Ovis aries: one gene and its partner. The protein of the gene in region 2 interacts with the protein of the main gene of each other region in a pairwise test. Links are inferred from orthologs where the notes say so. Each region holds a gene or a part of one and is shown on either strand. Other genes may lie near its edges. The genes, in order: MAZ and BPTF.

What was found.
Region 1: the proteins of BPTF (region 2) and MAZ interact in a two-hybrid assay, tested with the Homo sapiens proteins (2 studies listed by BioGRID). The link is inferred for Ovis aries from reciprocal best matches to the Homo sapiens genes BPTF and MAZ.

What each region holds. Positions count from the first base shown.
Region 1 is NC_056077.1:26,949,563-26,953,979, forward strand, and holds the start of MAZ (myc-associated zinc finger protein), read right to left. Parts: upstream 2,849-4,417; 5' UTR 2,834-2,848; coding exon 2,087-2,833; intron 2,004-2,086; coding exon 1,147-2,003; intron 756-1,146; coding exon 692-755; intron 554-691; coding exon of another isoform or gene 455-553; exon of another isoform or gene 423-454; intron 417-422; coding exon 245-416; intron 1-244. Other genes in the region: kinesin-like protein KIF22, read right to left, coding at 3,689-3,736, 3,825-3,884, 3,972-4,181. UniProt on the Homo sapiens protein: Transcriptional regulator, potentially with dual roles in transcription initiation and termination.
Region 2 is NC_056064.1:48,822,487-48,826,806, reverse strand, and holds the start of BPTF (nucleosome-remodeling factor subunit BPTF), read left to right. Parts: upstream 1-1,358; 5' UTR 1,359-1,583; coding exon 1,584-2,217; intron 2,218-4,320. UniProt on the Homo sapiens protein: Regulatory subunit of the ATP-dependent NURF-1 and NURF-5 ISWI chromatin remodeling complexes, which form ordered nucleosome arrays on chromatin and facilitate access to DNA during DNA-templated processes such as DNA replication, transcription, and repair.

The DNA of each region.
Region 1 (4,417 bases), on a different chromosome or scaffold from region 2:
GCCCTCTCCCATCTCCCCACACACACCCAGGAGTTGACTCTTTCTGGTAGATCATCTCCTCCAGCCATGACATCTCAGAACTTAGTGATGTTCAGTCGTCCCAACGTTCCTTCGTGTGTTTTCTAAAGGGCTCTAGATGCCACGAGCTCTTGGCTACAGCACCTTTAACCCACATCTGTGGAAAGGCCTCTGGTTTTGTCCCCACCCTCTGTCCCTAGCCCTCCCAACATCTCTCAGCATGTACCTTTGTTGCAGAGCTCACAGACATGGTGAGGACCCTGGCTGTGCACCTTCATGTGGTCCGAAATATAAGCCGAGCTCAACATCTTGCCACACACATGACATGGCACCTTCTCCTCGTGTCGTACTGTGTGGGCTCGCAGACGATCCTTCGTAGCAAAAGCTGCCTCACATTTCTGGGGAGGGGGGAGGGGCGTGGGGGGTGTCAGGAGAGTTAAAGCTTCGGGGAGTAGGGCGAGGGGGGCAAGAGGTTAAAGGAATCAGAGCCTTGGGGGTCTTTGATCTGTAGGAAATGGGAGTGAGATGATGAGGCCTTGAAGAAGGGATGAGAAAATGGAGTGAAAAAGCAAAAAGAAGAGAGAGAAAAAGGGGCTCTGAGAGGCTGAACTCAGACAACTACAATGAGGATCAAAATCATGAAAATCAGGACAGGAGGAGGCGGGCTTCCTACCTCACATTTGAAGGGCCGTTCTGTTGAGTGCACTTGTCTGACGTGACTGTTGAGGTGATCCGGCCTGGGGACACGTTGGGGTTGGGGTTAGGGCCCTGGGGTGTGGATGGGTCCCCGAGTCTGCCTAACTTGGTCCATCAAGCATTTGCAAGGGGCCCTGCGTTTTCTCCCAAGCCCAGGGATTCAGAGTCCCGGTTAGGCAGGAATCCCTCCTCTCGCTCTAGGCGGCCTCGGCCTCCTCCCACTCAACCTAAGGACCCACCTCCTTCTGCTAAGGACCACCCCCTGCTCCCTGGTAACCGGGAGAGGCTTTCCTCCCGCCTCCCTGGGAGTGGCTCCCAGTCCCCATCCTCAGAAAGCTCCCTCCCTCCCCACCAGCCAAGGCCAGGCCACCTCCACCGCCGGCCTTCCCGCCCTCCCCACCCGCCCAGGGGGCGGCCGAGGCCCGTGCACACCGGGAGAAGCTCTTGCCACAGTGGGAGCAGTTGTAGGGCTTGTGCACAGCGCCGTCATGTGAGCGCACGTGGTAGCTCATGCGGTCCTTGCGCTTGAAGCGCTGCTGGCACACCGGGCACTGGTAGGGCTTCTCGTCCGAGTGCGACAGCTTGTGTCGGTTCAGGTGGTACACGTCGCGGAAGGCCTTGCCGCACATCTCGCAGGCGTGGTTCTTCCGGATGCGCTTTCCCGAGGCGGTCGTGGTCACCACGCCGCCGGCGGCCACTGCGGCCGCTCCGCCGCCGGCACCCGCCTCTCCCCCTCCCCCGCCGGCTCCGCTCAGTTGGGGCACGCTCAAGAGGCTTAGGGGCACCATGGTGGGCATCTTCATAGCACCCGAGGGGACCCGGCCGGCTTTGGCTCCGGTGTGGATGGCCTCGTGCCTTCGGAGATTGTAGCCGTTCTTGAACTCCTTGGCGCACAAGGCGCAGATGTAGGGCCCCTTGCTCTTTGTCTTCTTCTCCAAGGCAGATGCGACCGGGGCCACGGCGACCGTCGAGGTTGGGGCAACGACGGCGGTGGCCGCGGCTGCGGCGATAGTGGCGGCAGAGACAGGGGGCGCGGCCTCGGCGGCGGGCGCCGACACCGGCGGGGGCGGCGGAGGAGGCGCCGGGGGCTGCTTCAGAGCCGCTGTGTCCACAGTGGAGGCGGCGGCCGGGGCCGGGGGCGCAGCAGCAACGGCGGCGGCGGCGGCGGCAGCGGCGGCGGCAGCCGCGGCCGCGGCGGACTCCTGGGCGGCGGCAAGGACCGGGAGCAAGTCCACCTGGAGGGGCTCGGCCGCCGGGGCCTGGGGCGTGGGTGGGGGCGCCGGCGCGGCCTGCGAAGACAAGGCGCCGTGTGGGCCGCGGCCGCGGGTCGGCGCCCTCCCGGCCCGGCCCGCCACGGCCGGCCCCTACTCACCTGGAATGGACTCTGGGCGCAGCCCTGGGAGGCAAAGAAGCGGGACTGGAGCTCAGCCCCGACCTGCAGGGGGTTCTGGGCGTGACCCTGAGGTGGCGGGAAGGAGTTCATGAGGCCGCCCACCCCCCGGGAGTCCAGGCCCAGCACGGGGAAGGGGGGGGCCAGCAGCGTGCAAGGGAACACGGGGAACATGGCCTCAGCCACGGCGGGGCCCCCGGGGCTCAGCGGGGGCCGGGGGCGCGGGCCGCGCGGGGCCCGGGCTCGGGGCGCCGCCCCCGGCCGGCCGGGCTGGGCCGCGCCGAACGCATGGCCCGCGGGCCGCCCCGCCGCCCGCGCACCCCGGCCGGCGGGAGGGAGGGAAGGAGGGCGCCTGGCGGGCCGCGGAGCGCGGCGGCGACGGCGGCGGCGACGCCCCCTGGGTGGGGGCGGGAGGCCCCGCGGGGCCGGGGGCCGGGGGCGGGGGCCCGGGCGGCGGCGGCGGCGGCGGCGGTTGGAGCCTGGCGGGGCGGGGTGGGGGGAGCGAGGGAGCAGCCTCGGCCCCCGCCGCGCGCGCGCCCAGCCGGCGCCTCGGGGAGGGCGGGGGAGGGCGCGAGGGAGGGAGGGGGACAGCTGCGCGCGCACCGGGCGCGCGGAGGGGGGGGTGGGACGGGAGGGAGGGCGGGCGGGAGGGGGTGTGGGAAGGGGGGGGGGGGCGGGGGAGGGGGTTGTTACCTGGAAGATGAAGCTGCTCCAGTTGCCGGGATCCATGGCGGAGGGAGGGAGGGAGGTGGCTCGCGCTCACCCTGGGGCGGGAGGAGGAGGAGGCGGCCGTGGGGGAGGGGGGAACCCGGGGAGGAGGCGCGCGGGGCGGGCGGGAGGGGGGAAGGAGGAGGAGGGTGGGGGGAGCGGAGCACACTGCGCGCGGGGAGGGAGGGCGGGCGGGGGGCGCGAGGACACACAAGAGGCTGGAGCGGGCGCGAGCGCGAGCGCGCGCTAGGCCCGCGGGAGGGGGGAGGTACAAGAGGGACTCTGGCGGGAGGAGGGACAGGGGAGCCACCCAGCAGCCGGAGTCGCCCCAAGCGCGAGACCCCTGAGACGGCCGCTGATTGGCTGACGATGGCGCAGGTGGTGGGCGCGCGGGAGACGGGGCGGCTTCTCTCTCCCCCCCACAAAGATTCCACCCCCCGCTTCCCTCCGCCAGCGGCCGTTATTCCGCGCGCACGCGCACAAACTCGCTGTCGTTGTCGAGCGGGAGAATAGGGGAGCGCGCGCCGGGTTACGGATGGGGCGGGGCTAAGCTCTAAGCGCGCGCCCGCCTAACGGTCGTCGTCCTAGGGCTTTCGCGGGAGCTTTTTGTTTCTTCTCGGCCACCGTCCTGTCCCCCTCCCACTCCAGCGGTTTATTTACAATCCTGCGCTGCTTCGCGTTTTCCCAAAGATGGCGCCCAAAGAAGTTTGCAGGCTGAGCTTGTGGCCCATCCCAAGGGCAATTATACCCCGGCCCCGCCCCCGTAGTCCCAAGAATCAGGCTGAAGCAACGGAGTGAAAACTGTATTTACAAGACAAGCAGTTACACAAGGACTTAAAAAAAAAAAAACGGGAGGGTACAGAGGGGAGCCGGCAGTCAGGAGGGGCCACAGCCCCGGCCCGCGGCAAGACCCAGGATGTTTGCCTGCAACACAGGAGGGAAGGGGAGATCAGGTTTAGAGCCGGGCAGGGTACAAACCAGGGTAACAAGGGGGCCCGAGCCGCGAGCTCACCTTCAGGAACGACTCCATCTGTTTCCCCGACATGCCCTCCACGCGTTCCAGGTCCTCAACCTGGCAGGACAACAGCGATGGGGAAGGGTCTAGGCCAGGTGTCCCCCACCCAACTCCATTCCAGGGCTGTCCTCCCTGAGCCATTACCTGGCTGAAGGGGCCGTGGAGCTCCCTCCAGCCCACGATGAGCTGAGCCTTCTTTTGGCCAATGCGCTGCAGGCTGCGCAGATCACGGGCTGAGCCTTCGTTCAGCAGATCTAATATTTTTTGGCGACCATGGGCCAGTAGCTCTGGGCTGATCTGCAGCTCCCAGCCGTCCTCAGCCTTCTCTGGCTGTGATGCATCCAGGGACTCCAGCTATGAGGCAGGAGGTGAGTGACAGAAACAGCAGAGTTTGCTGTTTGGCCCGCGGCAATGAACCGCTCTGGACTCCTCTGCCAAGGATAGGAGTCTTAACAGCAGCTACCTGCCCGCCCTCCCCAGCCTCTGTTTCCCTCCTGTCTAGTGTCTGTCCCAGCACCCTTCCCTCTGGTCACTCTGGCGTGATTCCCAATTTATCTGATCTGTGAAAGAGTAGAATAGAGTTGTTGTGA
Region 2 (4,320 bases):
TGAATAAGTGAATTTGGCCATTAATGCTTGTTTGTTCATTTTCATTTCACGTATGCATTCTATCCTTCTAACTCCACTGTAATAATTCACTTGGTGGACAGAATTCTGTTAACTGTTAACACAAATCACTTCTTTGTGGTCACATGTTTCAATAAGTATTAATACATTATAAAATACAGCCTGGGTCTTAGCCCCAGACCACTGCGAGTTGAGTCTCCCTCTTTTGGTCCCCGGTTGTTGGTGGTTTTAGTCGCTAAGTCGTGTCAGGCTCTTTGTGAGCCCATGGCCTGTAGCCTGCCCGGCTCCTCTGTCCATGGGTTTCTCCAGGCAAGAATACTGGAGTGGGTTGCCATTTCCTTCTCCAGGGGAGTCTTCCCGACCCAGGGATCAAACCTGGGTCTCCTGCATTGCAGGCAGTCTTTACCAACTGAGCTACGAGAGAAGCCCAGCTTTGGTCCCAGGATGCCTAAAATTTCATCCTCATGATTCGCCCCCTGGGTTTAGCCGAGACTTTGTTACTTGTCAGGTAGATTAAAATTATCTCCCGGTAACTCAAACATCCAACATTTTAAAGTAGGTATTAGGACAGAAGTTATCCTTTCTACAGCAAGGAAGAAATTAGAAAGCTCTTTCGGAGGTGGTCGAGTTTCTAGCTGGGACACTAGCAAAGGTGGAGGAGACTGGAATGTAGTTGCTTTCTGAAGTTTATCGAAGGCTTTTTGGGAGGGGATTTTATCCCGAGTCTCAGAGCGACCCTCCCTCAGGGTCTGGCAGCTTAGGGCGGGGCTTCTAGCAGCGCCCCCTCCCCCCCCTCCCCACCCCAGCAGTTGTCATTGGGATCAATTCCTGGACTCTCTCGAGCCAAGCGTTCGGAGTTTCACAGTTCTGGGGGCTCGTCTCACAGTCCCCTGATAACCTCCCTCCGTTGCTGGCGCTCACCTTGTCCCTTCTGTCGCTGGAGTTGCACAGCCCCTCGCCCCACCCCGCCGCGGCGCGATACCCTCTCTGGCGCTCTCAGCATCATTATCCCCCAGGGGACAAGACGGGGACAAATTTGGGGGCTTCCCTGCCCTCGTCCCCTAGCAGGGGAAGAGGACACGTGGCAAGGAGGCCTCGTGAGTTTAGACTCCCGGGGCCCTCGACACGGGGCACTTCTCGAGGGAGCGCCCCTCTCCTCACAGCCGCCGGCGGCCGCGGTCTAGCCGAGCCGCGCGGAGGCGCCCCGGGCTCCCCGCCCCCGACCCGGCGCTCCCGCACTCCCCCTAGCGGCCGCCGCGCGGCCTCGCTCCGTCCCAGGCTCGTCGGCGGCGCAGCTCACGTGACCGCGCTCCGGGCCTGCGGCCGCTGTCGGTTCCCCCAGTCACCGAGCGAGAGGGAAGAAACAAGATGGCGGCTGAAGGCGATCCGGAGTGGGGCCCCAGCAATTCGGATTGAGCCTTCTCCCTCCACCCGCTTCCGCCGGCCGGGCCCCTCCCGCCCGGCCCCGCGGGCCTCCCCACCCGGCCCCGGCGCCCCCCACCGCCACCCCTCCGCCCGCCCCTCCCCCCTCCGCTTTCCCTTCTCCCCCCCGCCTGAGCTCCGACATGAGGGGCCGGCGGGGCAGGCCGCCCAAGCAGCCCGCGGCTCCCGCTGCGGAGCGCTGCGCCCCGGCCCCGCCGCCGCCGCCGCCGCCGCCGCCCACGTCCGGACCCATCGGGGGGCTCCGCTCGCGGCACCGCGGCAGCAGCCGGGGCAGGTGGGCCGCCGCCCAGGCTGAGGTGGCGCCCAAGACGCGGCTGAGCTCGCCCAGGGGGGGCAGCAGTAGCCGGAGGAAGCCGCCGCCGCCGCCGCCGCCGCCGCCGGCCCCCCCCAGCACCAGCGCCCCGGGCCGGGGGGGGCGAGGAGGCGGGGGCGGCAGGACAGGGGGCGGGGGCGGCGGCGGCCACCTGGCCCGGACCACCCCGGCCCGGAGGGCCGTCAACAAAGTGGTGTACGATGACCACGAGAGCGAAGAGGAGGAGGAGGAGGAGGACATGGTCTCGGAGGAGGAGGAGGAGGAGGAGGAGGACGGCGACGCCGAGGAGACCCAGGATTCCGAGGACGACGAGGAGGATGAGATGGAGGAGGACGACGATGACTCCGACTATCCGGAGGAGATGGAAGACGACGACGACGACGACGCCAGTTACTGCACGGAAAGCAGCTTCAGGAGCCATAGCACCTATAGCAGCACTCCAGGTACCCACCCAGCCCGGTTGCTGCAGACTTCTTCCCCACCTCCTCCCCCTCCCTCCCCCCTGGCTCACTCCCTCTCTGGTCTCCCCCCACCCCCACCTCCCCCCCACCCCCCAAACGGAGGGGAAATGCGACGGCCCATCAAGTGGCAAAAAACTAGATTTACTAGAGGAAAGAGGCGCATTGTTCAAAATGGAGATTGCATTGTTGCAGTTCGCAGGCCACACGCTCGCTCTCTCACTCGCTCGCTCTCTTCCCTCAACCCCCTCTTTTTCCTCTTAAAAATGTGTGCCAGTGCAGTGTCTCCACGGGCATAGTTGAAACTTTGGCACACGCATATCCATTGCATTCATTTTTCTCCCCTTGTTTTGGTTTGGTTTTTTGGAATGAAAGAAGCTTCTTGTTTTTGCAAACCTCTTTGCATTTCTAATGTGGTTTCTTTTAGATTTCTCGTCTCTAATCGGTTCCTAAAAAAGGGAATGGAGGATTCAGACAGATTGTGCCATACAAACACACGCACACACACACAACATGCTTCTCTTCACACCCCGAACTGTGTGGTTTTAAAAGTGTCTTGAGGAAATGGATCAGTTGGGTTAGTAGGGGAGCCTTATCTGGTCCTGTGTGTGTGTGTGTGTTTATTCTTGAGTGCTGATGGGCTCGTGCAACAGTTGCTAGTGAATGGCTGATTAAAAAGCAAAGAAGAAAAACCAAAGAATACCAAAACAAATTTGCTGTTTTATCTGATTCCAGTATCATTTTGGTAAAATGCAAAATAAGAGACCGCAGGAACTTGAGTCTTAACTAATTTGATCCCTTTGCCTGAGAAATGCCGTTTCCTGTCACCTGTTGCAGACACGTATGGTTGATCCTGCAGACGTAATTGCTGAAGATGAACTTTTGGACCAACTTCCAAGTCACACAACAGAAGTATAGGGAAACCTAATGCAAAATGACTTTTTCTTTTCATTCTATTTCTGAGGGTAATAAGTCCTCCTTGATCTACAATGAACTTCTCCATGGTGACTCCTCTTTTCTCAGAGAGCTTCTCGAGGCTGGTGCGGAGATACATTTTGTTTATTTAAAAAACATACACACACAATGGCTGCTGTGTATTAAATTCATAGTTGCAGTTTACTAAATGGTGGAAAAAAATCATAATTTACAGCAGTAACCTACAAGATCTTTTCCTTTGTATTTTTTTTAATCTGAACTAAATTAGAATCCAGTTTTCAGAGCATTTCCGAATTAAAGTTCATGAAGGAATAGAGTCTTAACAGTGATTAAGGTGTGTCACTTGTTTTTAAAAGAGACTGGACCAGCCCTCAAATAAAAATCAACAAAGAAGACAAAAAAAAAAAAAAAGGGACTGGAATAGGAGAAGTGGTTAAATGTAAATGTGCCTTTTTTTCTTTTTTTAATAAATGCTTAAATACTCATTGGAGGAGTATGAGCATTAAGTCAGATGTAAGCCCATTTAGCTTGTCCTCCCAGCAAAGGAAAAAGGTAATTTCTTTTGCCTGACAGTAATATCTGCCTGTCTTTGGGGTGGAGTGAAGGAGAGCTGGCAGGAGAATGAAGAGAATGAATCAAATGTCAAGTGTGTATGTCTTGTATGTGGAAAGGACTACACACCATCCTTGCCAACTTAATTTTAGTGCATCTTTTATAGTAATGATTTCTACCTTACGAAATCACATGTGGTCTTTTCGACCAGGAGCCCAGAACTGAAAGACTTGTGGAGAGGAAATTATACTATTGGAGGAAGTTTTCTCAGATTAAGCAGAGCTAAGGCGTTTGGCAGGGTGGTTCAGCTAACTTTAACTCCTCTTTGAAGGCTTAGCAAGTAATATTTAGGGTTGAGAGCGGTGTATATGCTGTTAAATTACAATTTTGTGGTTAGGCTTCCTTTTTTAAAAAGATCCTTATATCTTTATGTACTTCCATGATAGTTTGTTTTTTCCGATGACATTCATAGTCTACCTTGTGTATGCTTGTCACCTTTCACCTTTATGTGAAATTAAGGGTTATATATCCTTATACTAATCTTACAGCCCCTGTAGTTCCTAGTGTAGTGCCTTGAGCACACTACAGGTGCTCATCAAA